Linked DNA regions of Schizosaccharomyces pombe. The protein of the gene in region 2 purifies or fractionates together with the protein of the main gene of each other region. This does not show direct contact. Each region holds a gene or a part of one and is shown on either strand. Other genes may lie near its edges. The genes, in order: fal1 and rns1.

Region 1 (16,552 bases), on a different chromosome or scaffold from region 2:
TCCAAAAAGGAGAATAGTTAACTAAAAAATAGTTAAAAAATTTATTTAAAAATATGCATACCTGTTGGTAAATGGATATCTGCGTGAGGTCCACAGGCTGCAAGCCAGTCTGAGTACAAGAACCAGAAGCCAACAACAAAGCATCTATGTAGCGCAAATTTCCCGACCCATACAATATTACTGAACATAAAATAGTCATTCCTATTATAAAAGAATCTTGAACAAAGTTAGGCTTGAAAAGAAGTTTTTCACATACAATGGTATTCAAGGAACCGGAACCGTTTGTAGAAAAACCCGATAACTGCATGATAAAATCTGTATAATATTTTCCTTCTTAAAAACCTTCTATATCGTACAAACATGTCATAGTTTATAAAGCAGTATTATATTGTATTTGATAAAAATTACACTCACGTCGATTTCAAATAGCTTCAGTGGCTTCTTGAATAGTGCAGTTTTGCGTCCTCACTATACGATTCACCTTGAACATAGCAACAACTAAACAACATCTGACAGTAATCGTTCTGTGCTTTTTTACAGCTGTGTCCAAAATCTCGTAGTGTATCAAGTTTGGTTTCAAAGATTTATTAAAAAGTATCTGCATGGACCGAACTTTGTTATGGAAGACGGTTTTGAAAAGTCGCTCAGCAGCTCTATAGAGCTACTGAAAGCTGAAAGTACAGGTATATAAATTTTTGTAGATATTTTGATTCATTTTTTTATTTTATACTAACTTTTTTTAAGAAATAGAAGAAAAAATCAAACTAACTAAAATTTTAATTACTAAGGTTTCTAGCATATCTTCAGACGCCTCGCAGCTGTATGCAGAATTAATTCCACTACTCTTGGATTTTTTACGAAATACAGAGGTGAATCTTTATAGAAATTCTTCTGTCAATGAACTCAAGATCGAAGCATTGACTTTAATACAAAGTTGCGCTCACCGTGATGAATTTAAACAATATGCGCAGTCTTGTGTGCTTTCGTTCATTAGCTTGATTAAAGCAGATAATGAAGAAGTCGCTGTTTTTTGCTTAAAAGTTATTATGGATATATTCAAAACTTTTAAGTTTTGTATAGAAAGCACTGCACAACCCTTTTTTGACTTGGTACTTGAGCTTTCTACAAACCTTCCTTATTTAATTCCCTCAATATTTGTCGAGAATCCAAAATCAAATGAAGAGGAAAATACAACCCTGGCTTTTGGTAGTTATCTGTCTACGGAAACTTCAATCATCCAACAGCGTGTCAATTCTTTAGCTATTTCTACTCAACCTTTGGAACTGGCTTCTCAAAGTTTCCGCGTGTATGTAGAGTGTCCGGTCATTATAGTTTTGATTCTTCAAGCATATCGTCAAGCTGCTTTCCCTGGTGTTCAAGCCATAATTCCCTGTTTTCTTAAGATGGTACAAATTGATGTTCCAATAGACATCGCTTCATATGCAATGATTGAAAAAGATTCAAGCATTGACTTTATTGAGTTTATAAGGAATAAATATCAGTACCGTAATTTTTTTATGGCTCAAGTAAAGACTTTATCTTTCTTGGCTTATATTTTACGAACTCATCCCAATACACTTTCTGAGAAGGATATAATACCGGACATTGTAATAAAGCTTTTGAGGCGATGCCCTTTTGATATGTGTTTTGCCCGTAAAGAACTGCTGGTTGCTACGAGACATATTCTGTCAACAAACTTAAAATCTCTTTTTGTCAAAAAGCTGGATTTTTTGTTAGATTTAAATATATTATTAGGAAATGGAGTTGGTACTCAAAAGCTGTTACGTCCCTTGGCATTTAGTACATTAGCTGACTTACTTCATCATGTACGTGACGAACTTAACGAAACGCAAATAAGAAAATCTATAATGATTTATTCGACCAATATGCATGATTTGACTCTTAGCATTGGGTTACAGACTATGGGTGCCCGGCTCATTTTAAACATGGTTGACAGAATGATTAGTCTTCCTAGCATCCCCGATGCTATATTTCTTCTTTTATCTATTTTTGATAGCTTTGTAAATAAGTTTTCGGAACTTAATGATAGTTTGGATCAGTTTTTTAAGAAAAAGTATGAAGAAGAAATTAAAGAGACAAAGTCACCGACGCGTTCTTCTCCTAGGGATTTATCTTCATTTAGCACTTCCGTCAATGATGGATCATTTCTTTTTAAAAACTTGATGTTTGGCTTACGGGCTCTTATGTATGGGCTTCGTACATGCAAGTCTCGATGCATAGAAATTGGAGGTGAACAATTTTCGGGATTCCTTACGAATATCAAGCCTTTCGAAGCTGTTACGTTTCAGAAGCTTTTTTTTGAGGTTGGCAAAGGATTCTCATATTTTCGACCTGAGCAAGTCTATTTAGAAACTTTTTTCTGCTGCGAAGAAGAAAGTTTAGATCGCCCTGCTATATCTACGCTTCCTCGTAACAAAGACGAGAAAGATTGTCTTGAAGTATTTGCTACCATTTTTATACATCTCGAGCCATCTATATTTCTTAAAGTTTTTGAAACAAACCTTCCTACTTTTTTTGATCAACTTAAAAAAAATCTCACATTATTTCACATTCCACAGTTTTTGCTTTCAAATGAGAGCACATCATCAAAATTTTTAAATATTTTACTTCGATTTCTGCTTTCCAGAATTGAGGAACTCGGATCTTCTGACATCAGGCATGGTTCTGTCTTGTTGCGTTTGTTTCGTCTTTCTTTCGTTACAGTCTCAATGTTTGCAACAGAGAATGAGCCAGTTCTTCGGCCTTATGTATCTGAAATTATTGTGAAATGTATGAAGTTGGCTCCCAATTCTGCTAATTCATTGAACTACTATTATCTATTAAGAGCGTTGTTCCGAGGAATTGGTGGGGGAAGATTTGAAAGCCTTTATAAAGAAGTAATGCCTTTGTTGCACGCTCTATTAGAGGCATTTAATTCATTGCTTATATCTGCCCGTACTCCGAAGGAGAAAGACCTTTTTACCGAACTTTGTCTTACTATTCCTGTAAGGCTTAGTCTTTTATTACCATACATGAGTTATCTAATGAGACCTCTCGTCATGTCTTTAAAAAGCAGTCAAGAATTAGTTAGTCAGGGATTACGAACCTTTGAATTATGCTTGGATAATCTCACTCCTGATTTTTTGGATCCGATAATGGCTCCTTACATAGAAGATCTAATGAATGCTTTATGGAGTCATCTACAACCTCTTCCTTATAATTATAATCACAGCCATACTGCCTTGAAAATACTTGGTAAACTTGGTGGAAGAAATAGGAAGCTTCTTGATAGAGTCCAGAGTTTAAAGAATTCGCCGGAACCGAATAACGATTTTACTTTACTTCTTTCGATAAAAGGGGTTAAACAACCACAACTTTTACATTACACCCAATATGTTGATGAGGCTGTGAATTTGCTTTCTAGCCCTTCTAGTGATCTGGAGGTTAAGCAACAAGCGTTCACTTATGTTTGCAATATTTCAAAGCTCTATGTTTATAAGAGTGACGCTACTAACAGCTTAGCCTCATCCATTCGATGTACTGCAGACAAGATTTCTAAGAGTAATTTTGATTTTCGACGACCATATTCTGTAATACCGAGCCGAATGACTGGAAGGAGTTCATTCACCCAACTGAGTGATGATTCAGATGAAACCATAATTTTGGCCTCGGCTACATATGGACTTTTTTTTGCTACGACGGTTGATGAACTCCGCGAAGAAGCTTACTTCTGGCTTGAAAAACTGGCGGTCAACGTAATTGTACACGATATTTTTTATGCTTTTGACGTTATTCAAGGAAATCATTCAAAATTTACGACTAATTTGCAAAAGGAGGTTATTATTAGTCCTCATTATTTTGCTCATTGTCTATCAGAAGTCGTTTGTAATGACAATAGCAAGATGGGTGATGCTGTGAAACATGTACTTAAATTTATGTTTAGTTTTTTAGAATCGATTTTTGAAAATCCAGAAAGGGCTTTTATCCTTCCAATTTTTGAGGTCTTATTATCTGATTTCCGGCACAAATGTTATGACCCTCATTGGTATAAAAAATACGGAGGCTGTTTTGGATTGGAATGTTTGATAGAGCAAGATCATTCTTCTAAATGGCTTTTTGACAGACAAGTTGATATTTTAACTGCGCTATTTTTTACATTGAAAGATACTACCTCAGAAGTCCCTACTGTCTGTAAGGATCACGTGATGGACGTTTTAAAGCAGTTATTTCGAAAAATATATGCTTCCAAAGATACTGAAATTGCTCCCGGAATTTTAGGGCATCTAGTATTGGAATTGTCAAATCATAATTCTGTGGTCCGTTCTTCTACCCAAAAATTGCTTTCTTTATTGTCGGAACTTTCAAATACTCCGATTGTTAAACTAGTTTCACCTTTCAAAGAAAGACTTCTCTCACCAATATTTGCAAAACCTCTTCGAGCATTACCTTTCCATATACAAATTGGACATATCGATGCTGTAAATTACTGCATAAGTCTTGGAAGTGAATTGATTACTTTTTCCGACGAATTAATTCGTCTTATTCATGAAACCACTGCTTTAGCAGAAGCGGACGATGATGCTCTTATTGGAATTGGTAAAACTTCTCACTTCAAAAACGCTGCACTTCTTATACGTTTGAGAGTAGTATGTGTAGAATTACTCAGTACTTGCATTTTGAAGATTGATTTTAATAACCCTCAACATGCACACTTACGTGAAGGAATTATTGTTGTTTTTTTTAAATCTTTGTATGCAAAGTCCAAGGAGCTTATTGAAGCGGCATCATTAGGTCTCAAGAACGCTTTGCAAGAGGACCAAAAGTTATCAAAAGAATTGTTACAAACAACTTTGCGTCCAATACTGTATAATATATCTGACTATCGAAGGTTAAGCGTTGCAGGACTTGAAGGTTTGGGAAGGCTGCTACGCCTCCTCACAAATTACTTTAAGGTCGAGATAGGAAGAAAATTACTAGATCATTTAAAGGCTTTACTTGAAAATGTTGATTTCCAAAAGGTGTCTAGTCTTCCTTTGTTTTGTCAAACTGAAATGAAAATTGTTCGAGCTCTTATTGATCTTTTTCATTTATTACCAAATAACGCAAATAGATTTATGGATGAATTGTTAATTTGTGTTGTAGAATTTAGTCTGAGACTACAAAGAACCTTTCCTAATTATTTCAGTGAACCTTTGCTAAAATATGTCAATAGATATCCCGAAGATGCTTGGAAATTTTTTATGGTTAGATACGATGAGGCCGCTTTTACGTCTGTTTTTGTTGAGTTACTTCGACTTAAAGATTCAGACCCCCTACTTTCAGTTGTGAAGGATAATTGGTTATTTTTTCAGACCATTTTAACTAACGAAATCAATACTGTAACTGCTAACCGCTATTCATTTGCTTTGGACTCTGCCATTGTAATACTACAACGTGATCCTTCTTTCTTCAAAGATAAAAATGACTTTTTTAGAGGCTCGATGGATGCCGTGCTAGCAATAAGCCATCTGGTTGAAAATGAGTCCATTTTGGAATCCATGGTTTTTTGGAACGACCTGTTGGTTCGTACCTCAACATTTTTGTTGGAAGTGTATGATTTATGCATATATAATTATGACGATGGGCTCAAGTTACTGTCATGCTTTCACATGTATAAAAACTCATTGGCCAAGAACCTTGTAAGTGACCTTACGGCTCATTTGGTAAAAAAAATTGAAGAACCTGATTTAGAGAACAATGTTAAATTGATTTTAAACCTTATTTTATCAAAAGACTACGGGTTTTTATTGAAGGAAAACTTGGCTGGCATTCTTCTCACGTATCTCAATCAGAATGTGTCTTCTCTTGAAAAATGTAATCAAATATTTTCTATATTTTACGAAGTTTTTTTCCAACATCCTTCCACTAATGTTTATGCTAATGATGAGGGAATAAAAATAGGCGCTTTACAAATAATTTCTTTTTTTTTAAAAAATGTCCCAGAAATTACTGTACAGCATCAGACTGAAATGCTTAAGATGTGCAGTCTCTTTGGAAATTCAGAGGACGTGATGATTAAACAATTATCGATTTATGTCATGTCTTTATTCATTTTACGATCACAATTTCCGTACGAGCTAGTAAACGTTGTGTATATGGCTCTTTTGAAAAGTTCCCCTATTGAAGTTCGACATTTGGTAAAATCTTCTTTTGACAACATATTTTCGTACATATTTTCTGAGGAGCCAGAAAGCAAGAAATCACCTATCTGGTTTGAATTGCCTTTACAAGTTATTAGCAGCCAAAGTCAAAATATTTCACAGCTGCTCAATGTTTACGATTTTATTAGTAGTCACTCCGATATTTTTATCGAACACAGGGGAAGGTATGTTCCGATTTTAATTGATTCTTTATACAAATTTGGAGCCATTCCGAACCCTAATCCTGAGATTCGCGCTCTATCTTTAGGCTTAATTAAGGTTTTACTAGAATGGAATGATCTCCAACTTAAAGTTGACCAGAAGGAAATTTTTTCAAATAACCAGAAGAGAGCTATATTGAGTTACCTATTTCGTTTTGTGTGCCTTTTTTCTGAACCCTTCACAGAAGGTTTGTGTTCCGAAGCTATTTCTTTACTAGAGCGTTTGCTTTCATCCGGTACATGGGCAAGTTTAGGGATGAAACTATCTTTTTTTACGAAGAGTATTACTCATTTTGATGCTACTGATGCCAATTCAGTGATGTTTGCCAATTCGCTAAGAACCCTGTCAATCGTGGTGGGGCACTCAGATTCTGCGTGGATAGAAGAAAACCTTTCCGATTTGAAGTTTTTATTAGAAAAATCTTTAGAAAATGAATCAGTTGGTGTACAGAGTGCAATTGGAAATTTTGTTTCAACTATACTAACGCTCTCCAACACTCATCCTTCAATTGCGGGAAATCCAATTTTCAACGACATTTGGACGTCTATTGCTAGTTGGACAGAAAGAAGGCTTCAGAGTTGTTCCCAGATAGAAGTGACCTTACCTTGTGTTGAATGTTTCTTTAAGTATAAAAAAGATGCTTTGCATACTCTTTTACCAGGTTTTATGCGTTGCTTCCATAAAGTTGCCAAGGAGTTTCTTTCGTTAGGAAGTCAGCCATCAGGAAACTCACTTAACCTTCAGATTGTTAATGCTGTTGATGAACGAGTATCTATTTTAAAGTCAATGATCGAGTTGGGTTGTTCTTACATCAGCTATCTTGGTGATCAAAGACGATGGTTTTTAAGTGCCTTGGTACAAATAATTGAAAAATCCTCAAGCTACGAAATTTGTAATTATCTATTGGAAATTGTGCGAGGTTGGATTATGAATTCTCCGGTTCCTGTTCCAACGGTGAAAGAGAAAGCTGCTTTACTATTAAAAATGGTAACCTTTGAAGGAAGATTCAGCCAAAATGAACAAAATGATTTATTTAACAAATATTTATCGTTTATAGCTGATATTTACGAAATGGAGCCATACAAAAATAGTGAGTTGACGTTTCGATTAGAAGCAGTGTATCTTCTAGGTACTCGAGTTGCGAATAAGAAATTGAAGGAAAGGTTTATAAAAGGCTTAAATTCTAGTTTCCCATCTGATCTATTTTCTCGTTTTCAATTTCTCTTGGGAAGTCAACATTGGGAATCACTTTCTAATACTTACTGGATCGTTCAATTGAACATTTTTTTAAGCCGTTGCTTTGATTTAAACCAAAGATGTCAATTTTATAAAAAGCCCAAGTTATTTTCTTGTTTTTCTATCTACTGTCGAGAATTCGATGAGGATTTGACTTCCCAAGCGCAAGATACCGAAATGTTACATAACAATTTACTAAAGTATGGAATAATTGATTTCAATCAAAACAGTATGCTAGTCTCTGATTTTGTACTTCCAGTTTTGAGCTTACAGTTTTCAAATTCAAAAATTGCGGAGTACTTATGGCGAGATTTTTTTAATGCTTCAGTTTGCAGCTTTACAAAGGATGAAATCCCTTTGTGTATTGGTTCAATAATTTCTTTTCTTTCTCGTGAATATCACATCAGGCTTCTTGGGAAAACACCTAATGTCTTGGAGACCATTTTAACGTCGATTGTATCCTCGGACATGCCTATACCATTACCACCTCATCTTCTTGTATATTTGAGTAAGACATATGGATTGCACCATTATTGTATATTATTACTAGAAAATTCTTTGCAAAACAATCCAGGTCTTTCTGAAGATGAATTAACAGTGTATCATAAAAGTTGTCTTGATGCTCTCAGCGATATCTATTATAGCTTGGATGAACATGATTTGTACCATGGGCTTTGGAGAAGACGTGCGAATTTTTTGGAAACCGAAGTTGCAACTTCTCATGAACAATGCCATGAGTGGGAAAAAGCTCAATTGGTTTATGAGCATGCGCAATTAAAAGTTTGTACAGGAAGTTTACCGTATTCACCTACTGAACATGGATTTTGGCTGGATCATTGGATTTTATGTGCTCAAAAGCTAAACCAATGGGATGTACTTTTTGATTTTTCAAAACAAGAAGGATGTGCTGAACTTTATCTAGAATGTGCATGGCGCTTATCTGACTGGAGTACCGAACAAGATACCTTAGAAAAGGCTACGAAGTCTTTATCTCCTTTCACAAGCCTTAGGCGGCATACTGCTGATGCGTTGTTATACCTAAATAAAACCCAGAGGAAAATGGGATCTGTTACAGAGTTTTCTAGAATAATTGACGAGTGTATGCAATTTTCGTTGAGGCGTTGGCAGCAGCTACCCAAACGCGTGTATCAATCGCATGTTTCTCTTCTACATCACTTTCAGGAAATTGTAGAGTTACAGGAAGCTTTTGGTATATACAGCCAGTTAAATGATACCAACATTCACAATATTGACAATAAGTTGCGGGATATAAAAGTCGTCCTTCAAGGTTGGAGGGAACGTTTGCCAAATGTTTGGGATGATATTGATATATGGAGTGATTTAATAGCTTGGCGTCAGTCAGTTTTTAAATCAATCAACAAAGTGTTCCTTCCTCTTGTTTCAATTGCTCAACAGTCAACAAACAAGTCTAATACAAACTCGGTTTCTTACCTTTATCGAGGATACCACGAGCTGGCCTGGATAATAAACCGCTTCGCTCATGTTGCCAGAGTTCATCATTTACCTGAAGTTTGCATCAATCAGCTGACAAAGATATATACGCTACCAAACATCGAAATTCAAGAGGCTTTTTTGAAATTGAGAGAACAGGCTGAGTGTCATTACGAATCTCCTTCTGAAATGCAGCTGGGTTTGGAAGTCATCAACAATACAAACCTAATGTACTTTCGGAATCGACAGAAGGCGGAATTTTTTACTCTAAAAGGGATGTTTCAAAACAGGCTTGGAGAAAAAGATGAAGCAAATCAGGCATTTGCAACTGCTGTGCAAATAGATATTGGTTCAGGAAAGGCTTGGAGTGAATGGGGATTGTACCATGATGAACTATTTCAGGCAAACCCTCAAGAGATCCATCATGCTTGTAATGCTGTGAGTTGTTTTTTACAAGCATCTTCTCTGTTGTCGAGTTCTAACTCCAAACCCCTTTTAACACGTGTACTTTGGTTATTGTCGGTAGATGATTCTCACGGTTCTGTCTCAGAAGTGGTCTCATCCTTTAAGTCGGAAATTCCTACTTGGAACTGGATTCCGTTTATTCCACAGCTTTTGTCGGCCTTATCACATCGTGAATCAATCCATGCAAGAGCAATTCTTATTCAAATTGCTAAAACATATCCCCAATCTCTTCATTTTCAGCTTCGTACCGCGTATGAAGACTTCCTAATGCTTAAGAAGCAACAGGCGGCAAATGTACTAAGGGGAAATAGTCGTTTACGTGAAAACGATTCTTCTTCGGATAATAAATCAAAAGATCTCTCTCCTTCTGGCTCGTTTTCAAGCGTTAGCCAATTTAACAGTAAGAATGGAAGCCCTTCCTCTATAGACTCTTCTGAGAAACACCAAATATCAACCGTCAAACCTGCGTGGGAGCTAATTGCTGATGTGACATCTATCCTTAAAACCGCATATCCGTTGCTGGCTCTTACTATGGAAACTATGGTCGACCAAATACATACCCGACTAAAATCATTTCCTGAAGAGGATGCCTACAGGCTCATTGTCGCTCTTCTAAATGATGGCCTTCAGTACATATCTCGTTTAGGCGTTGTATCAAAAAATACATTCCAGCTACCTATGTCTCAAGCCAACATTCAACGATTTGCTGAAAACGTTCTTCCTGTATCAGTGCGAGAAGCATTTTTACGGGATTTTGTTGAAACAAAATTAGACTTATTAACATATGTTGACAAATTACGTATGTGGAGAAAGAAATTTGAAAACATACTGGATCAAAGACCTAAATTTCTTCATTTGGAACAGTGTAGTTTATACTTGAGTGAATTTCAACATCAAAAGTTTGACGAAGTTGAGATTCCTGGTCAATATTTGCTCGATAAAAATAACAATAATGATTTTGTACGATTGGAACGTTTTGTTCCAAACGTTGATTTGGTACGAGGCCATACTATGTGTTATAAGCGACTTACTCTTAGAGGATACGATGGAAAACTTTATCCTTTTGCATTACAATATCCTGCTACTCGACACAGTCGACGTGAAGAGCGCATGCTTCAGTTGCTTGGCACGTTTAATACTGTATTACGCTCTAAAATAGAAATTCAGAATCGAAATTTCAGTTTTCAAATACCGTCTTCAATTCCTTTATCATCACATATGCGGATAATTGCTGATAAGCCTTCTTATGTTACAATGCAAACTATAAGTGATGAGTACTGCAAAAATAGGGGGATGCCTTTAGATTATGGAATTCGTTTTTATTTTGATAGATTGCAGACTGGTCTTATTCAATTGAAGCGAGCTAGTGCTTCTATGCTTAGCAATAGTACGGTGGAAGAGAAAAAGCAAATATTTCGTCAACGAGCGTTGCAGTTGCGTATGCAATTACTCGAAACACTGAATTCATCAGTTTTCCCTGAAAGCATATACTATGACTACTTTTATAAAACCTTTGAAAGGTACTGTGACTTTTGGTTTTTCCGCAGGACATTTACAACGCAATATGCTTACATGATTATTATGACTTATGTATTCAATATTGGAGGTCGATCCCCTCAAAAGCTGTTCATAGTGAAGGATTCTGGCCAGGTGATGTCGCAAGACCTTTTACCTTCTATGACTTCCAACCAACCTGTATTTCACAATACTGAGGCTGTTCCGTTTAGATTAACGCCTCCAATACAATACCTCATTTCTGATTTGGGAGTTGAAGGATTACTTTCGGGATTAGTAATGAGCATTGCGCAAAGTCTATCAAGTCCTACTACTGATATAAAGCAGTATCTAAGTCTTTATGTTCGTGATGAAGTTTTCTGGTGGTCCAAGCAGCAAAGAAAGCCAATTCCTCAGGGAATCCAGCTGTTCGAAACCGTGAAAGTAAATGTTGAATTATTATTTCGTCGAATATCGGTCATATCTCATAATGTACCAGAGGACCTTCCACTGAATCAGACTTTGGTGGATTTAGTATCTCAAGCAACTAATCCTCAGCAGCTGGCGCAAATGGATCAACTTTGGCAAGCTTGGCTTTAACAAATTGCAAATCAGTTTTGAGGTTTCATCTAATATTGAATTGCTACGAATGCTCAGATTATTTATTATTAGGAGAAAATGCTAATACTTTTCTTTTGCAGGATCTTACAACCAAAAAATTATGATCTAAATGACACCAAAAAAATACGCATAGAAAGTTTTGGGTAACATAAATGGAAATTAATTTAAATATACAGTTATTATTTTAAAGTTTTCCCCCAAATCTGTACAATAATCCAAAAAAAACCAGCTTTTTTTTTCCAATGGAAAATTTAAACCATATCTCCTATATTCATAGGCATTTCATCTATAACAGTAGAATAGTATTGTTCAATATCCCGAAGAATGCGTACATCTTCATTTGTAACAAAATTAATAGCTACACCTTTACGACCAAATCGTCCACTGCGACCAATGCGATGTATATAGTTTTCTCGATTTGCAGGAAGATCGTAATTGATCACTAATGAAACTTGCTGAACATCAATTCCTCTTGCCCATATGTCTGTGCATATGAGAACCCTACTATTTCCTTGTCGAAAATCTTGCATGATAGCGTCTCTTTCTTTTTGCGGCATCTCACCGTGCATACTGGTAACGGTAAAGTTAGCTTCTCGCATTTTCTCCGTCAACCAATCAACCTTCCTACGAGAATTGCAAAATATCACAGCTTGTGTAATGGTTAAAGTATCATATAAATCACACAGAGTATCAAACTTCCATTCCTCTTTTTCAACTGCTATAAAGTACTGTTTTAAGCCTTCAAGAGTAAGTTCATCGCGCTTGACCAATATTCGAACAGGGTTAGTGGTAAACTTGTTAGTCATTTCTAACACGTCTTGAGGCAAGGTAGCACTCACAACTACCACCTGTGTACCAGGGGGTAAATATCTATAAATGTCATAAATTTGTTCCTTAAAGCCTTGATTTAAGAGCTCATCCGCTTCATCAAGAATAAGCATCTTAACATTGCGAGTTCGCAAATTTCGTCTACGAATCATGTCCGTTACGCGCCCAGGAGTGCCAGAAACAACGTGTTGTCCATAATCCAATTTTTTGATGTCATTTCCAACGGATGTGCCGCCTATACAAGCATGACATTGAACGTTCATATGGTCACCCAATGCAAGTACAACATTCTGGATTTGAACTGCCAATTCTCTCGTAGGAGAAAGTATTAAAGCTTGAGTATCTCGGACTGATAAATCGATCGACTGAAGAATACCAATAGAAAAAGTTGCTGTTTTCCCTGTACCAGATTGAGCTTGTGCGATAACGTCTCTCCCTTTACAGATTTGAATAATCGCCCGGCTTTGCACAGCACTCGGAGTCTCATAGCCATACGCATAGATTCCACGAAGTAAATCCTCTGCATGTTGTTAGAACAAAATTATGGAAATTTTTATCAATTCATTAACTAACCTTTAAGATTCATTTCCTCAACTGCAAAACAATGTTAGCATCATTCACAGTAAGTATTCATATTATAAAAAAATATAATTTACTTACAAGAGGATACAGCATTCACATCTTCCGATGTCGTAAGCTCCACGTTCTCCATTATTTCGTCCGCCATAATGGAAGTTGTAGTAGTTATGTTATGTCAGCCCAACTTGAGGAAAATGAAGGAGAGAAAATTTGACAAGCAAATAGAAAGCTTGGTTAGTTACAAAAATAAAAGAATATTCCTTTAAAAAATTTCAATTGTACGGAAAGCTTTATTAAATATTGACAAGAAGTTTAGATGAACTTATTATTCACATGTTGTTTATTTTCAGTACTCCCAACTTGTTAGATAATGGTATAAAAAGTAAACTAGCGGTTTCTTAGAATTAGACATTACACGAAAAAATTATGAGAGTCTTACATTAATTTTCTACAACTGGAGCAATGGTTGAACACCACCCTTAAGAGTCTAAACAACATTTCAATTCGTCCTAGAATTGTTATACTAATTTCCGTTTTAGCAATCTAAGTTCTCCTAGCACTAACATGCAAATTATCGGCTAGTCAAAACCCATTATCAATTAATGTTTCCTAACCAGAATTGCCCACCACTTCGCATAAATTCAGTTATACATTTCCATGCTAAAAATTACCTAAAATCACTCTCAGATATTATAAATGCTATACACAGTTTACATTTGTGAGCGTTGTCATGAATCTTGTAACCAATGTCATGTTCGCTTGCGATAAGATTGCAAATTGCAATTGTAAGACTTAATCTAATTAATTAAGAATTACTTTTCATCCACTACTGTTGACGTCAATTGACTTCTCTTTTCATAACATTTCTTTGTTTTTTGCATTCTCTTTGTTTATAAATGGGGTTTCTTTGTTTATACATTTGAGCTAAAATGTATAAAAGAAGCATGTATACCAAAACTATTGCATCGTTTTCAAAATGCTTTTAAGTGTAAGAGGCGTGCCGGTTGAAATTCCATCTCTCAAAGATACAAAGAAAAGCAAGGGAATCATTCGATCAGGATGGGTTATGCTGAAGGAAGATAAAATGAAGTATCTCCCTTGGACTAAAAAGTGGCTAGTACTTTCTAGCAATTCTCTGTCGATATATAAAGGAAGCAAGTCTGAAAGTGCTCAGGTTACGTTGCTGTTGAAGGATATTCAAAAAGTAGAGCGTTCAAAGTCTAGGACATTCTGCTTTAAATTGAGGTTCAAAAGTAGTACCAAAAATTTTGAGATTCAAGCTTGTGAATTGTCCGTGGCCGATAATATGGAATGTTATGAGTGGATGGATTTAATATCTTCTCGTGCGCTTGCTAGCAAAGTTTCAAGTCCGATGAATCCTAAACACCAAGTGCATGTGGGAATTGATAATGAAGGAAATTATGTCGGATTACCCAAGGAGTGGATATTGCTACTTCAGAGTAGTTCGATTACCAAACAAGAATGCATGGAGGAGCCGAAAGCAGTTATTCAAGCTTTGGATTTTTATAGTAAGCAGTTGGATACAACAAGCGAAACTAAAGATAGTTTTTCATTTTGCAAAGAGACACTGCCACGATCCTCTACTACATCGTATTCTATTCGCGATGCTGACAAACATCATAAACTCACGACATCTGGAGTTACTAAAATGAATATTACTGAAAGATGCAAGCCGAAGACAACCATACAGACGGATAAAAAGCATATCATAAGGCCTTTTATTGAAGACAAAAGTCATGTAGAATCTATCATGACCGGAAAAGTAACCAAAGTACCGGTCAAAGCAGATTCAAAGAACACGTTGAGTAGAAGAATGACTGATAGACAGGCTTTAGCCATGTTAAAAGACTCAGTTACTTCTCATGATCCTGTCGAATATTTTAATGTTAAGCATAAACTTGGCCAGGGTGCATCGGGATCTGTTTACTTAGCCAAAGTCGTCGGAGGAAAACAATTAGGTATTTTTGACTCAGTTGCAATAAAAAGTATTGATTTGCAGTGCCAAACAAGAAAGGAACTAATCTTAAACGAAATCACTGTCATGAGAGAATCGATTCATCCTAACATAGTGACATATTTAGATTCATTTCTTGTTCGAGAAAGGCATTTATGGGTTGTGATGGAGTACATGAACGCTGGATCTTTGACTGATATTATTGAAAAAAGTAAGCTTACAGAAGCACAAATTGCTCGTATTTGTCTAGAAACGTGCAAGGGAATTCAGCATCTGCACGCCAGAAATATTATTCACAGAGATATTAAAAGTGACAATGTTTTACTCGACAACTCTGGAAATATTAAAATTACTGACTTTGGATTTTGTGCTCGATTGTCTAACCGTACTAATAAACGAGTTACGATGGTTGGAACACCATATTGGATGGCCCCTGAAGTAGTAAAGCAAAACGAATATGGGACCAAAGTTGATATATGGAGTCTTGGAATTATGATTATAGAGATGATTGAAAACGAACCGCCTTATCTCAGAGAGGATCCAATTCGTGCATTGTATCTGATAGCAAAAAATGGAACTCCAACTCTTAAAAAACCTAATTTAGTTTCTAAAAACTTAAAATCTTTCTTAAATTCCTGTCTTACAATCGATACCATTTTTAGAGCTACTGCTGCTGAGTTGCTGACACATTCATTTCTTAACCAAGCATGTCCGACTGAAGATCTAAAATCTATCATTTTCTCTCGCAAAGCGAATACCCATATTAATTAGGTCCAAAATTTACTTTTATGATTATTTGAATATTTTTAACGATCCTTAATGATATACAACTTGCTAGTTTTTTAGAAATTTCAATTAACTTCTCAATTTGCATGTGCGAAACTTTTGAGCTTACTTTTGAATATTAAAGCCTTGAAAGTAATTACTAAAGGTTCTATATGTTTTTTTTTAGCACCCATTTAATTTTGAAGATACTCTTTTTCTGGTCGATAACTAGAAACATATTTGGCGCTACTTATACTAGCTTGCTGCTGAACAATACCATAAATGGTAATATAAATGATCAAAGCACTGCTTACTATAACTTAACATGGGAAGGAAACACAGCTTACAACGTTAGTCTAACTTTATCAACCTGCACTGCTTTTGATGGCGCGAACGATTTGATGTTATATATATCGAACAATACGTTTGACGAAGCTCTTCCTTTAGATAATTTTACGATTACTGCTTCTGAAAATGGTCTAGCAACGATATTTGTAACCGGCTACTCACCTTTATATATTGCTGTGTCCAGTGCTTTTTCTCAATTTGCTCCCAATTTTTTTGTCGAGTCAGGTGAATCTACTTTAGAAGGTAATAATGTGATTAATTATGAATTAGCTGCTGGAATTGACACTCCCTTTAGTCAATACAATGCAACTAAATTTCTGTTTGCCCAGGACACCGACTTTCAAGCAGCACTACTCATTACGGGAAATCTCACTACAAATGAGACCTC
Region 2 (10,635 bases):
CAGCAGAGGGTGAAGTAAAGAAATCGTTTGAGAATGCTTCCCAGAGTTAAAGGATTAGAAGTGGTAAAAATTTGCATTTGATTGCATCATTTTGTTGGTTGCAGAAAAAGCATATGTTTTTAGATATTATAATTTGCGCTTGCATTTGGTCATTATTGTATTAGTTGAACGATTTGGTCTTTAACCTCGAGTTTCGAGTTTCCAAAATTCTTTTACACCGAAAGCTCACCAAATTCTTTTAGAATGCATTGCGTATCGCTCCAATGTCAGTAGAGGGCTTTTTGGAACTGGTAAATCGTCTTTCGAATTGTTTAAAAAATCCTTTGTTTTCTTATCGATTTCCTGTGATACAGTTAGTTACCTGATTTTAATGAAGTTTATGTATGGCTTGTGTTGAAACTTACTATATGACCACGGAAAAAATTATTGGCTTTTCGTTCTCTTTCCCATGAATTTATTTTTTCTTCTCTTTGTTGCATTGATTCATATCGAGATTGTGTAATTGCTAATATAGCTTTTCCCAACAACAATTTAAGCATAATAGCCATGAAAAATAGAAAGGCAATTCCTGATTTACCTCTTACAACTGAAAGTAGTAATGTCTCCCAAGAAGCTTCTTTTCCTGCATTATAAGTATTGGCTTCTTTATTCGGAAGATAATAGACATAATTATCCTTAGTAGGAAAAATAGTGCCGATAGATTTAGCAATTTCTTGTTTCATTGAATGGGTTGAACGAAACATGCTCCAAGTTTGCATGGAAGTTCGAATAAAAACGCAAACTAATGGTAAAACTGGAAGACCCATTCTTCTAGCCACCTGTTGAGAACACCCCGTCACCGTCTTTACCAATGTTAGTGTTATTGTCAAAAATGATAATTAGTGTATTATAACTTACCTGGGTTAGTTGAGCACCCGAAGCAACATAATCATGACACAGAACATCAGTAAAACGCGAATATATCGAAGGTTTTATATAATTGAACTTTATTATAAACGCATGCTTGAGCCAATCGACGAACAGTTCAGAACCTATAACCCAAAAAAATGGTGCCAACAAGGTCTTAAGCCTTTTAAAAGTTAAGAGGGGTTGATCTAACGAAGAAGTCGTGTACAGTTCTGCAAGATTTCTCAAAAATATTATGATAACCATAATGGTAATCTGAAAACGTTCGACTACGTCTAAAATTAAAGTTAGATGATTTAAGCTAATTACAAAATTACTTACCAGAGCAAGTAAGTTGAAAGAGGTTTTCTTTTTCAAATTTTTTGAAAACTGCCCCTTTAATTTCAACTAACTGATTTGACATTAAAAGTGCAAGGACAGCATTTGAATATGAATTCACTGTAACATTTAGGGTGATGATTTGATACAGAAGAACCAATGTATGTAAAACCATGTACGCTAGAGAAATTGCAAAATAATAGAAAAATGTCATCCAGCCAGCTGGATTCCAAAAATTGAAAGAAAGAATATGATTAGAGAACAAACAGTCAAGAACATCCTGACCCAAAGCGCAACACAATCTGTCCGCAATTTCTAAGACATTATACAAAACATAAAATCGTATACTAGCCTGAGCACGTATAATATGGTAAAGCCGACTAACGTCAATTTTTCGAATGAGAATACTAGTAGAGAATATTAAAAGAAGTTTTAAGAGATCAATTTTTCGGCTCCTAGGTAATGATCGGTTTGGTGAGCTATTACGATGGAAAAAAGTTGAAAATAAACCCTGAAAAATGCAACGGCTTAGGGTAAAAAAAGATATTAAGACCCGAATGGGAAATAATGTAAAAATATAAAGGAAGCTGTCGACACTAACAAACCATCCAAATAAAAATGTCTTTTCAATTGCATATGGTGTAGCCAGAAAGTTTTCAACATGCTTTTCTTTAATAGGATTTGCGGGCACAGTATCATTAGCCAAAAGCTCAAAGCATATGTAATTCCAAAAGTTTTGAATTTGAAGTTTACTCGCCCGTAATCTGGAAATGGGTTTGTCTTGGTTGCCAGTTACTGTGGGCTGATCATTCGTTTTACTAAAGAATGTCGTAGAATAGGACCTAGTAATAGGAATAACGTTTTTCTTAGCACTAGTAGAAGCTGATCTTCTAGGATATTCACTTGAAGAACTTCGTTTTGTCAGTGCATATCGGGATTTCGGAAGAGGAACAGCAAGAACAGGCTCGTTTAGATCAGGTTCTTCTTTCTCTGGTATAACGGATTCATTGTCTTTTCCTCCGTCACGTTTATTTGGAAGAAAACGAGAGGTTAACGATGATTCATTTTCGGATTCAAGTGGGTCAGCTTGTCCAGGTGAGGTATTGCTACCCATGGTTTTTTAGCTTTTTTAGGTAAGGTTAAAAGGAGATTATGGGGATTTGGATTTGTGGAGATGTTTCAGCTAAGAAAATGTGTTGATTCCAGTGTAGTGAAGTTTTAATCGAAATAAGAACGATATTTCATGAATTGTGTAATAATCGTTCGTTTGTTTAGAACCAAAAACACATAATTTTATTTTCAAGTCTTGATACTGTTTCCGAGTCTCTTCAATTTACATTCAACCTTGACTGCCAGATACCAAAGTTATATAATCTTACCACAATGTTGGTTAAAGTAAGTACAGGCAAAGATACCAAAAAAGACACAAATCAGTTGAATTATTGCGAATAAAAATTATTTATTCTCTAAATAATGTTGATGTTGAATTGTTGACATAGGTTACTTTAAGATATTTTCAGACTGCGAGTTTAAAAACAAAATCGATTGACATCGGTATATTTTCTATTGGACCTACGTAAATGAATAAATTACTATAAAAAACATTTCATCTCATTCAAGTCTTAAACTGATCCCATCACTTTATTAAAAGTAAAATCTTCTTATTTTTTTCATTCACGACACTGTGTTTATACGAATTGTTTTATAGGGAATTTTGGCAGTGATTATAACTCAATTTGTAGTTACGTATAAAAGTGTTCTATTCTTTAACAACTTCGAATGTTTGCCTGTTTCTTCTATTTTTTGTATGATAAAATACCACTTTTCGGTAAAATGAATAGTATTGTTGGGTCTTGCTGCTTTAAAAGGGTTAACCATTTAAAGCGTATTTAAGAACTTCGCATTTAAAATATGCCAAAGTATATTAATTGAGAATATGTATAAAAGATGTAAAGGTAATAAATATTACGCATTATGGTAAAAATTGAATTAAGTTGTACTATGGTTCTTACTGTATTTAATTATCTATGACTGTCTGGGAGAAAAACCTTGCAAGTGGCCTAAACTTTTTCATTCAGTCTCTATTAAATGATCTGTCGATTTCTCCACATAAAGTTAGTTTATTGAAATGCTAGCGGGAAACATGGAACAGGCGAATGTTTTTCGTTTAGAAGAAAAACGCTATAAATGTCGTGCCGACACAATTCCTGACATGTCTGAGGTCCTTGATCCTAATGATCCCCAGTCTTTTGGATTTGAAGCTTTAGTTGAAATTAAACCTAGAGTTTTTTCTTTTCAAAAAGCTCCTGGATTATTAATTCTTAAAAACTATGTTTCATCGGAACTGCAAATGCAGCTGTTAAAATCTATAATGTTTACGCAAATTCAAGATCCTGAAAACAAGACCAACCTTTCACCATTTTATCAACTACCATTAGGTAATGATAGCATATGGCGCAGATATTACAATGGTGATGGAGAAAGTATCATTGACGGCCTTGGAGAAACTAAGCCTTTGACGGTTGACAGACTAGTTCATAAAAAGCTTCGATGGGTTACACTAGGTGAACAGTATGACTGGACGACGAAGGAGTATCCTGATCCTTCCAAATCTCCTGGGTTTCCCAAAGATTTAGGTGACTTTGTTGAAAAGGTTGTTAAAGAGAGCACAGATTTTTTACATTGGAAAGCTGAAGCTGCAATCGTAAATTTTTATTCTCCTGGTGACACATTGAGTGCACATATCGATGAATCTGAAGAGGATTTGACACTTCCATTAATTTCTCTCTCAATGGGTTTGGATTGCATATATTTGATCGGTACCGAGTCGAGGTCGGAAAAGCCTTCAGCTTTACGTTTACACAGTGGAGACGTTGTAATTATGACTGGAACTTCTAGAAAGGCTTTCCATGGTAAGCATTGTTCATTCAAATACCTCATTTATAGTCAATTGATTGCTTACTAACTTACCGCAGCTGTTCCTAAGATTATACCCAACTCTACGCCTAATTACCTATTGACTGGAAACAAGGCTTGGGATGGATGGATTTCAAGAAAGCGAGTGAACTTCAATGTTAGACAGGTTAGGCCTTCTAGATAATGTAAATATGGTTATTTTTAATAAAATAGAAATTGTTTTTAGGGCTTAGGAATGATTGATACCATAATTACATATATATCATGTGCTTACTTGTTTTGTCAATATTTTGTTCCTTCTATTGAACTTTCGAAAAATAATTTTTTTATTTAACACTGTATTAAACCACCAAACAATAAGAAACAATTTTTTCTTTAATTTGTCAGTTAATAACTTTCGGCGTAATATAACCAGAACAATTCATTAGCGTACTTTCACAAATTAATTTGACAAATTAAACAATTGTGTAATCCCATTCTTAAAAAAACATAAACCTCGACATTTCCAAGCTTGTTTAGAGAATTATCGTGAAATTACTATCTTGCAGTCCGGAGTTTACTCAATATATTTCAGTTGCTTATTTCCATACAACTACTAACTAGCGAATTCGGTACAAAGCATTTGTCAATTTGAAAAATGAGGGAGGATTTGTTAAGAAACTCCGTTGAATTTTTAAGAGAAAAAACTGTATTAGATGCTCCTGATGTGAAAAAGATTGAATTTCTAAAATCCAAAGGTTTAACTGCCGAAGAAATTCAAGAAGCATTCAAGCTAGCAAAAAATCCGCTATTCCCTTCTTATCCTCGATTTGAAAACACTAGTAATTTTGTTTCAAGAGATTGGAGAGATTGGTTTATTATGGGCGTTATTTCGACTGGATTTGCATGGTCGGCGTATTCATTAGTAAAGGTACGTTCAAAAAACTGAACATTTAAAATATTCGTGCTGTTTTAACATAATTAAATTTAGAAATACATAGCACCAATGTTTCGCGCACCATCTCAAAACGCTTATGAAGCTGATAAAAACGCTTTGGATGCTAAATTTCTAGAAGCTCATAAAATACTCGAAAATTTAGATGAACAAACAAGAAAGCTTTCCGAGAGAACTGAAAAACAGCAAGATGAATTGGACATTGCGTTAGATGATTTAGAAGAGACGTTGAATACTTTGAAGCGTACGTCCGAAAACCGAGATCGTGAAATAGCTAGAATCTCACAAGATGTATATACCATGAGTACTATTACTTTACCACAAAGTCTTGAGCAAATTAAGAAATCTCAAGAAGAAGCATTACAAAACCTTTCGAGAGAAATTAGCTCTCTACGATGTTTACAAACTGATTCAAAAAAAGACGACACTTTCGCTACCACATCAAACTCTTCGATACCAGTATTAGAGAATCCTTTAGATACTTCAGAAGGTTTTCAAACTAAAAAGGTTGGTACTGCCTCCCTTCCAGATTGGCAAATATCAATGCATAACGAGGCTTCTAAAAACATTGATTTCAATGATATTGATCCCGCAGAGTCTTACGTTGCAGAAGATGCTTATTGACAGTAATAAAACAAATCACTAATAACAATTAAATTCAGGATTTTTTCTAGAATAATACTTAATGTCATTTAACTGGTCTGTCAAGACGCATCTTAATCATTTAACAATCTGCATTCTGCATCAGCTAATAAATGTATATTATATAATAAAGGAGAGTCAAGTAGATATAATAAAAAGCAAGTTTGCTGCAAGGTTAAATGTAGTATCTTACATCACAATCTCACCAACCAAACCAACCTTTATTTCTTTATGAGGAAGTACAAGGCAATTTTGAACGCGTACTTCATCATGGACTATACAATCGGCGCCCATAACAGTAATAGCTTGGACTTTAACGCTGTTACGCATAATCGTAGTGGAGTGCTGGCTTGGAAGAGTTGGAGAACCTTCGACTCGAGACCATTTACCAATCTTGCAATGGCGGGAAAGAATGGAATGTAAAACAACAGCATTGGCAGAAATTTCGCAATCCTCTTGAATAATTGAGTTTCGAATACGTGCGCCATCCTCGATGCGAACACGAGCACCAATTGAAACATTGGGTCCAATCTTTGCACCTTTGCTAACAATAGCATTAGGATGAATAAAAACCGGCTGAATGATCTCAGCCTCAGTGTCGGGTTTTGGAAGAGTACCATCATGATATGCCTTTTGTAAATACAAGGAATTAGCAGGAACAGCAGAGCCAGCGGTTTTTATTTGACGCCAGAACTCAGGAGTATTATAAGCATAAATGGCTTTAGAGGAATCTGAGCACAATGGAGCAAGCACATCGGTCTCCAAACTGAGGTAGTCTTCCATTCCTTCATCCAAGGACCTGAGTTGCTTCTCGACCTCCTCAAGTCTACGCTCGTACGCTTTTTTGATTTCATCGAATATAGAGGCATCAAAGATATAAATACCACATGAAATAATATTTGAAAGATAGGAGCTTGGCTTATCAACATAATGAAGTACACGCCCAGTACTTGGTTCCTCTACAAGGCAACCGAAGTTAGAAGCATCTTCTTTACTAACCTTAGTAGCCATTAAAGTAACTAAAGCTTTCTTCTCGTGATGAACGTTTAACAATTCTTGTAAGGGAAAACTGCAACACACATCCGCATGCATAACAAAAACATTAGAAGTATGTCCTTTAAGGATTTGATCACGGAAATGGTATAAGCCGCCACCAGTTCCTAAGCAGTTGTATTCACGGAGATACTTGATACGATTGAAACTGGGGAAATGCGAAGCTACTTCGTTGATAAAATCTTTGAAAACGCTTTCATCGTAGAAACCAACCAAAAAGACATCTTTAACACTTTCAATCTTGGATAAAGCCGCCAAATGATGGTAAATCATTTCTCGTCCTCCAATTTTAAACAAAGGCTAATTTAGTTAGCAAAATAGCTCTTATGTTTCAAATGCAACTAGAAAGTAAAACTGGATTACGTATTTTACCAACATATAAATTCTAAATAAGACGTACTTTAGGGACATCAAACGAAAGAGGGCGGAATCGGGTACCACTGCAAAGTAATTAGTTACTGATATTCACGCGTTTAATAGACTTATTTTTCGTTGGTACGTACCGAGATGGACCCCCGACCAGAATGACAGCAGAGGAAATCATAATAGCAATTTAATACTAAAAAATCAATAATGAGTATCAAAATCACCAAAAACGAAAGAGATATACGCCTCTTGAAACTTGGTGTGTGGTTCTGTGCAAGTCCTGTCCAGCTCTCCTTTGTTTAATAAGGAAGGTAGCGCTATGAGCTAACTTCTGCCAGTTCATATTTGCACTTAATAGCCTGGCTGCAGAAGATAATACTCTATGTAACAATGAAATACTAATGTAAATCAATTTAGTTCAAAAACCCATGATCTAAAAATTGTGCTGCAGGCTGAGGCACTTTGCCAGCCGTGAGGAACTTAATGCTCATCATCAGCTGTTTTGCAGAAAATAGTAAAGCACCTTCTAGCTTTGGTACAAATTATAATGCATTAAAACTTAAATAAATAAAATTTACTAATTGAATTTTCGAGTAAAAGTAGCCTTTTTAAAAATTTGTTCTCTTTAATCACCTTTATGAATTTACCATCAACTTCACGCACTACGCTGGAAGATTGGACTCTCGTGACAAAGACTTAATTGCTCATGAAGGGGAAATTTAGGTTCTCTTTAAAGCGCGGTGTATGTTATATATGAAATTATTGATTTTTTCGCTTTTATTAATACATATCTAGCTTTTGCGTCCGTCGTGGAACAAATACAATATATACAACATTGCAAGAAAACAACTACCTGCTCTGAATAATAGAACTTTATATCAAAAAAAATGGAATGCGAAGAAGGAAACAAGGTCTTATCATGGTCCTCAATTACGCGAATATCAACTGAAAAATGCCTTCCGCCCAAAATTGGAGGGGGTTATTTCTTCCTTAGATAATAAGCTTCCCATCCCTTTTATGAATCAGACTTATGCATTTTTGGAATCCCGTTTAGACATGTCTATTCATCGAGCGTTATTTGCGTCTAGCGCTTTACAGGCTCGCCAACTGGTGCTTCATGGAAAAGTGCACGTAAACGGAAAACCTGAACGCCGTGCCTATCGTCAACTCTTACCTGGTGATTTAGTAACTGTTGATCAAAAATCAGTAATGAATTGTGTTTCTGCCTCTAGTAACAATACCCCTTCTATACAGGATGGGAAGCAAACTGAACAGGTGTCCTCTAAGGATGGAGAAAATGAAAAAAAAAAGGATAATGATGATGATTTATTTGAACAGACTTCTAATGGAAAGTTGCCCTCTATCAATGAAACAATTTCCAACTTTGTTCCTAAACCGTTTATGTCACTAATGGCATTTATCCCTGCTTATTTAGAAGTTTGCTTCCGCACTTGTTCCTTTGTTTATGTGCGTGATCCAGTTGCTCGTCCTGGCTTAACGGAAGTTCCTTCTCCATTTCCTGAAGACTTGCACGCTTTAGCCTATACATACTATATCAGAAGTCGTAATATGCGGCAAGGAGCAGCTAGATGTCAGGCCAGACGGCTTATTCCGCAGAAAGTACGCGATGCATCATTTTATCAAGGACCTCCTGAATTATATAAAAAACGAAATGTTTCTCCCAAAGAAGCATTCTCTCATCGGTATCCAGTTCGTCAAGGAAAGTTGACGAAACTCGTATAAATCGAATAAATGAACTCCTCTCAAAAGTTTAGTAATAAAATATAAAACATTCTCAATTATGCTTTTTGTAATACTATGTTGATTTCCACTTTTGTTTTCCTGCTCTATGAAGTAACTGCCCTGTCTACTGCTATCCACGTAACCAAATCTTATACACATACAAGAACTGGCACATCTTTTTTCATGTACCAAAAGGAGGCCTTTTATCGTGGACGTAGCTCAACAAGACAATTTAACAATACCCGATCTCCATCTGGACGTTCAGCGTCGCGTTCTTCCAATTTCTCACATCGGTCTAGTAGTCGTGATTCTTTTTCCTCGAATAGATCTTACTCGAGTTCGCTTTCCAGATCTCCAGAAGAACCATTGCGAACAGTACGTTTTCCATGTATAATTAGTTATTTAAGGCATACTAATCGTTTCTAATACGATGCAAAATAGATTCTTGTGGAAAATTTGACGCGTAATGTCACTAAAGAACATATAGCAGAAATATTTGGGATTTATGGACTAATTGATCATATTTTCATGCCAATTTATAAAAAATGTGAGTGAGCTTTTATTTTTTATGAATTACACCCACTAACTTTGCAGCTGAATTGAATAAAGGGTATTGCTACATAGAATACGTATACCATGACCAGGCCGCAAACGCCGTCGATAAGATGAACAACGCTGAGCTTGATGGTGAGGAGTTGTTTGTATCGATAAAACGTTTTCCTTTTGAGTCACTACACAAAAACCATAAGCACTACGAAAACTCGTATCGACCATCAAGGTCACAAAACAATTCACATTACAACGATAAATCGTTTCATCGCTCCAGATATTCTCGGGCACGTAGCCGATCTCCAGGTTCCAATATATCTGAATATTCTGATCAATCACCCCCCTATCACTCCTATAGACATCGTCCTTAATCCCGCAAATTGTGGCCTACTGAATAAAAAAGAAAAGTGAAAACAAATTTCCAGTTTGAAAGCTTTATTATGTCGTTGTTTGATACGTACCACTACTATTAAAATTTTTGTGAACGGTCGATCCTCTATAAATTATTTTTTGGGAAAATTTTACGAAGTATTTATCGGATGTGCAATTTTCATTGTTCTAAGTCCTATTAGAATTTAAAAGTGTTCGTCGTCAAATTCATAACTTTTCGGTCGGATTCCCACCCTTTGTAGCATAAAGAGAATGCAACGACGGAAATCTGTTTTTTTAAAATCATTGCTTTTATAGTAGTCCGGAATAATGAAATTAAAGATCTTTCCTGTTTGACCCATTGCTCCAAGTCTTCCAGCTATATGCTGATAAGCAACACCAGAAAAAGTACTCCAAAGATGAAATATGTGTGTAATTGAGGGTAAATGTAGGCCTCGAATTTCAGAAGGGTTTGCAACAAATACAACGTTATTAAGGTTAGTAGAAAAATTTAGCGATTCAGTCGACAGTGTTCGACATTGCCAAAAACGGTTACCCACAGCAAACCCTTTATATTGGTTGCAAAAAGAGTGAGGATTAAACTCTTTGGGAAGTACAATCATAACACACTTTAAAATGTTATTCTCGAGTTTTGACTTCTTGGCTTCTATATTTAATATTCGAGGTACTGATTGTGCAAATATTTGTAAGACAGCCTCTGAATTGTTGTATGAAAAATTGTTGTCACCAATACTATGCATAGAATTATTGAATCGAACAAACTCATATGGCAAATTTGTCAAAGTGACCTTTGTTGTTTTTGGTTCAGCTTGAGCTTT

What was found.
Region 1: the proteins of rns1 (region 2) and fal1 purify together in Schizosaccharomyces pombe (affinity purification with western blotting, with the first as the bait; one study listed by BioGRID). This does not show direct contact.

The regions. Positions count from the first base shown.
Region 1 is NC_003424.3:259,100-275,651, forward strand, and holds fal1 (ATP-dependent RNA helicase), read right to left. Parts: upstream 13,244-16,552; 5' UTR 13,225-13,243; coding exon 13,158-13,224; exon of another isoform or gene 13,092-13,157; coding exon 13,071-13,091; exon of another isoform or gene 13,018-13,070; coding exon 11,921-13,017; 3' UTR 11,794-11,920; downstream 1-11,793. Other genes in the region: plasma membrane potassium ion transmembrane transporter Trk2, read right to left, coding at 1-21, 62-216, 257-362; phosphatidylinositol kinase-like protein Tra2, read left to right, coding at 620-683, 745-11,648; PAK-like kinase Shk2, read left to right, coding at 14,053-15,822; plasma membrane stretch-activated calcium ion channel Yam8, read left to right, coding at 15,990-16,552. UniProt on the Schizosaccharomyces pombe protein: ATP-dependent RNA helicase involved in 40S ribosomal subunit biogenesis. Required for the processing and cleavage of 35S pre-rRNA at sites A0, A1, and A2, leading to mature 18S rRNA.
Region 2 is NC_003423.3:3,726,495-3,737,129, reverse strand, and holds rns1 (putative RNA-binding protein), read left to right. Parts: upstream 1-9,018; 5' UTR 9,019-9,061; coding exon 9,062-9,253; exon of another isoform or gene 9,254-9,319; coding exon 9,320-9,425; exon of another isoform or gene 9,426-9,472; coding exon 9,473-9,798; 3' UTR 9,799-10,002; downstream 10,003-10,635. Other genes in the region: Fe-sulfur cluster assembly protein Isd11, read left to right, coding at 1-50; SPOM_SPBC13G1.05 (folding protein), read right to left, coding at 226-342, 405-842, 898-1,181, 1,228-2,338; abh1 (alpha-ketoglutarate-dependent dioxygenase), read left to right, coding at 3,368-4,136, 4,200-4,324; protein Pex14, read left to right, coding at 4,778-5,050, 5,111-5,698; mpg2 (mannose-1-phosphate guanyltransferase), read right to left, coding at 5,906-7,069, 7,170-7,209, 7,273-7,313; nam9 (mitochondrial 37S ribosomal protein uS4m), read left to right, coding at 7,842-7,877, 7,931-8,878; mrh5 (RNA helicase), read right to left, coding at 10,003-10,635.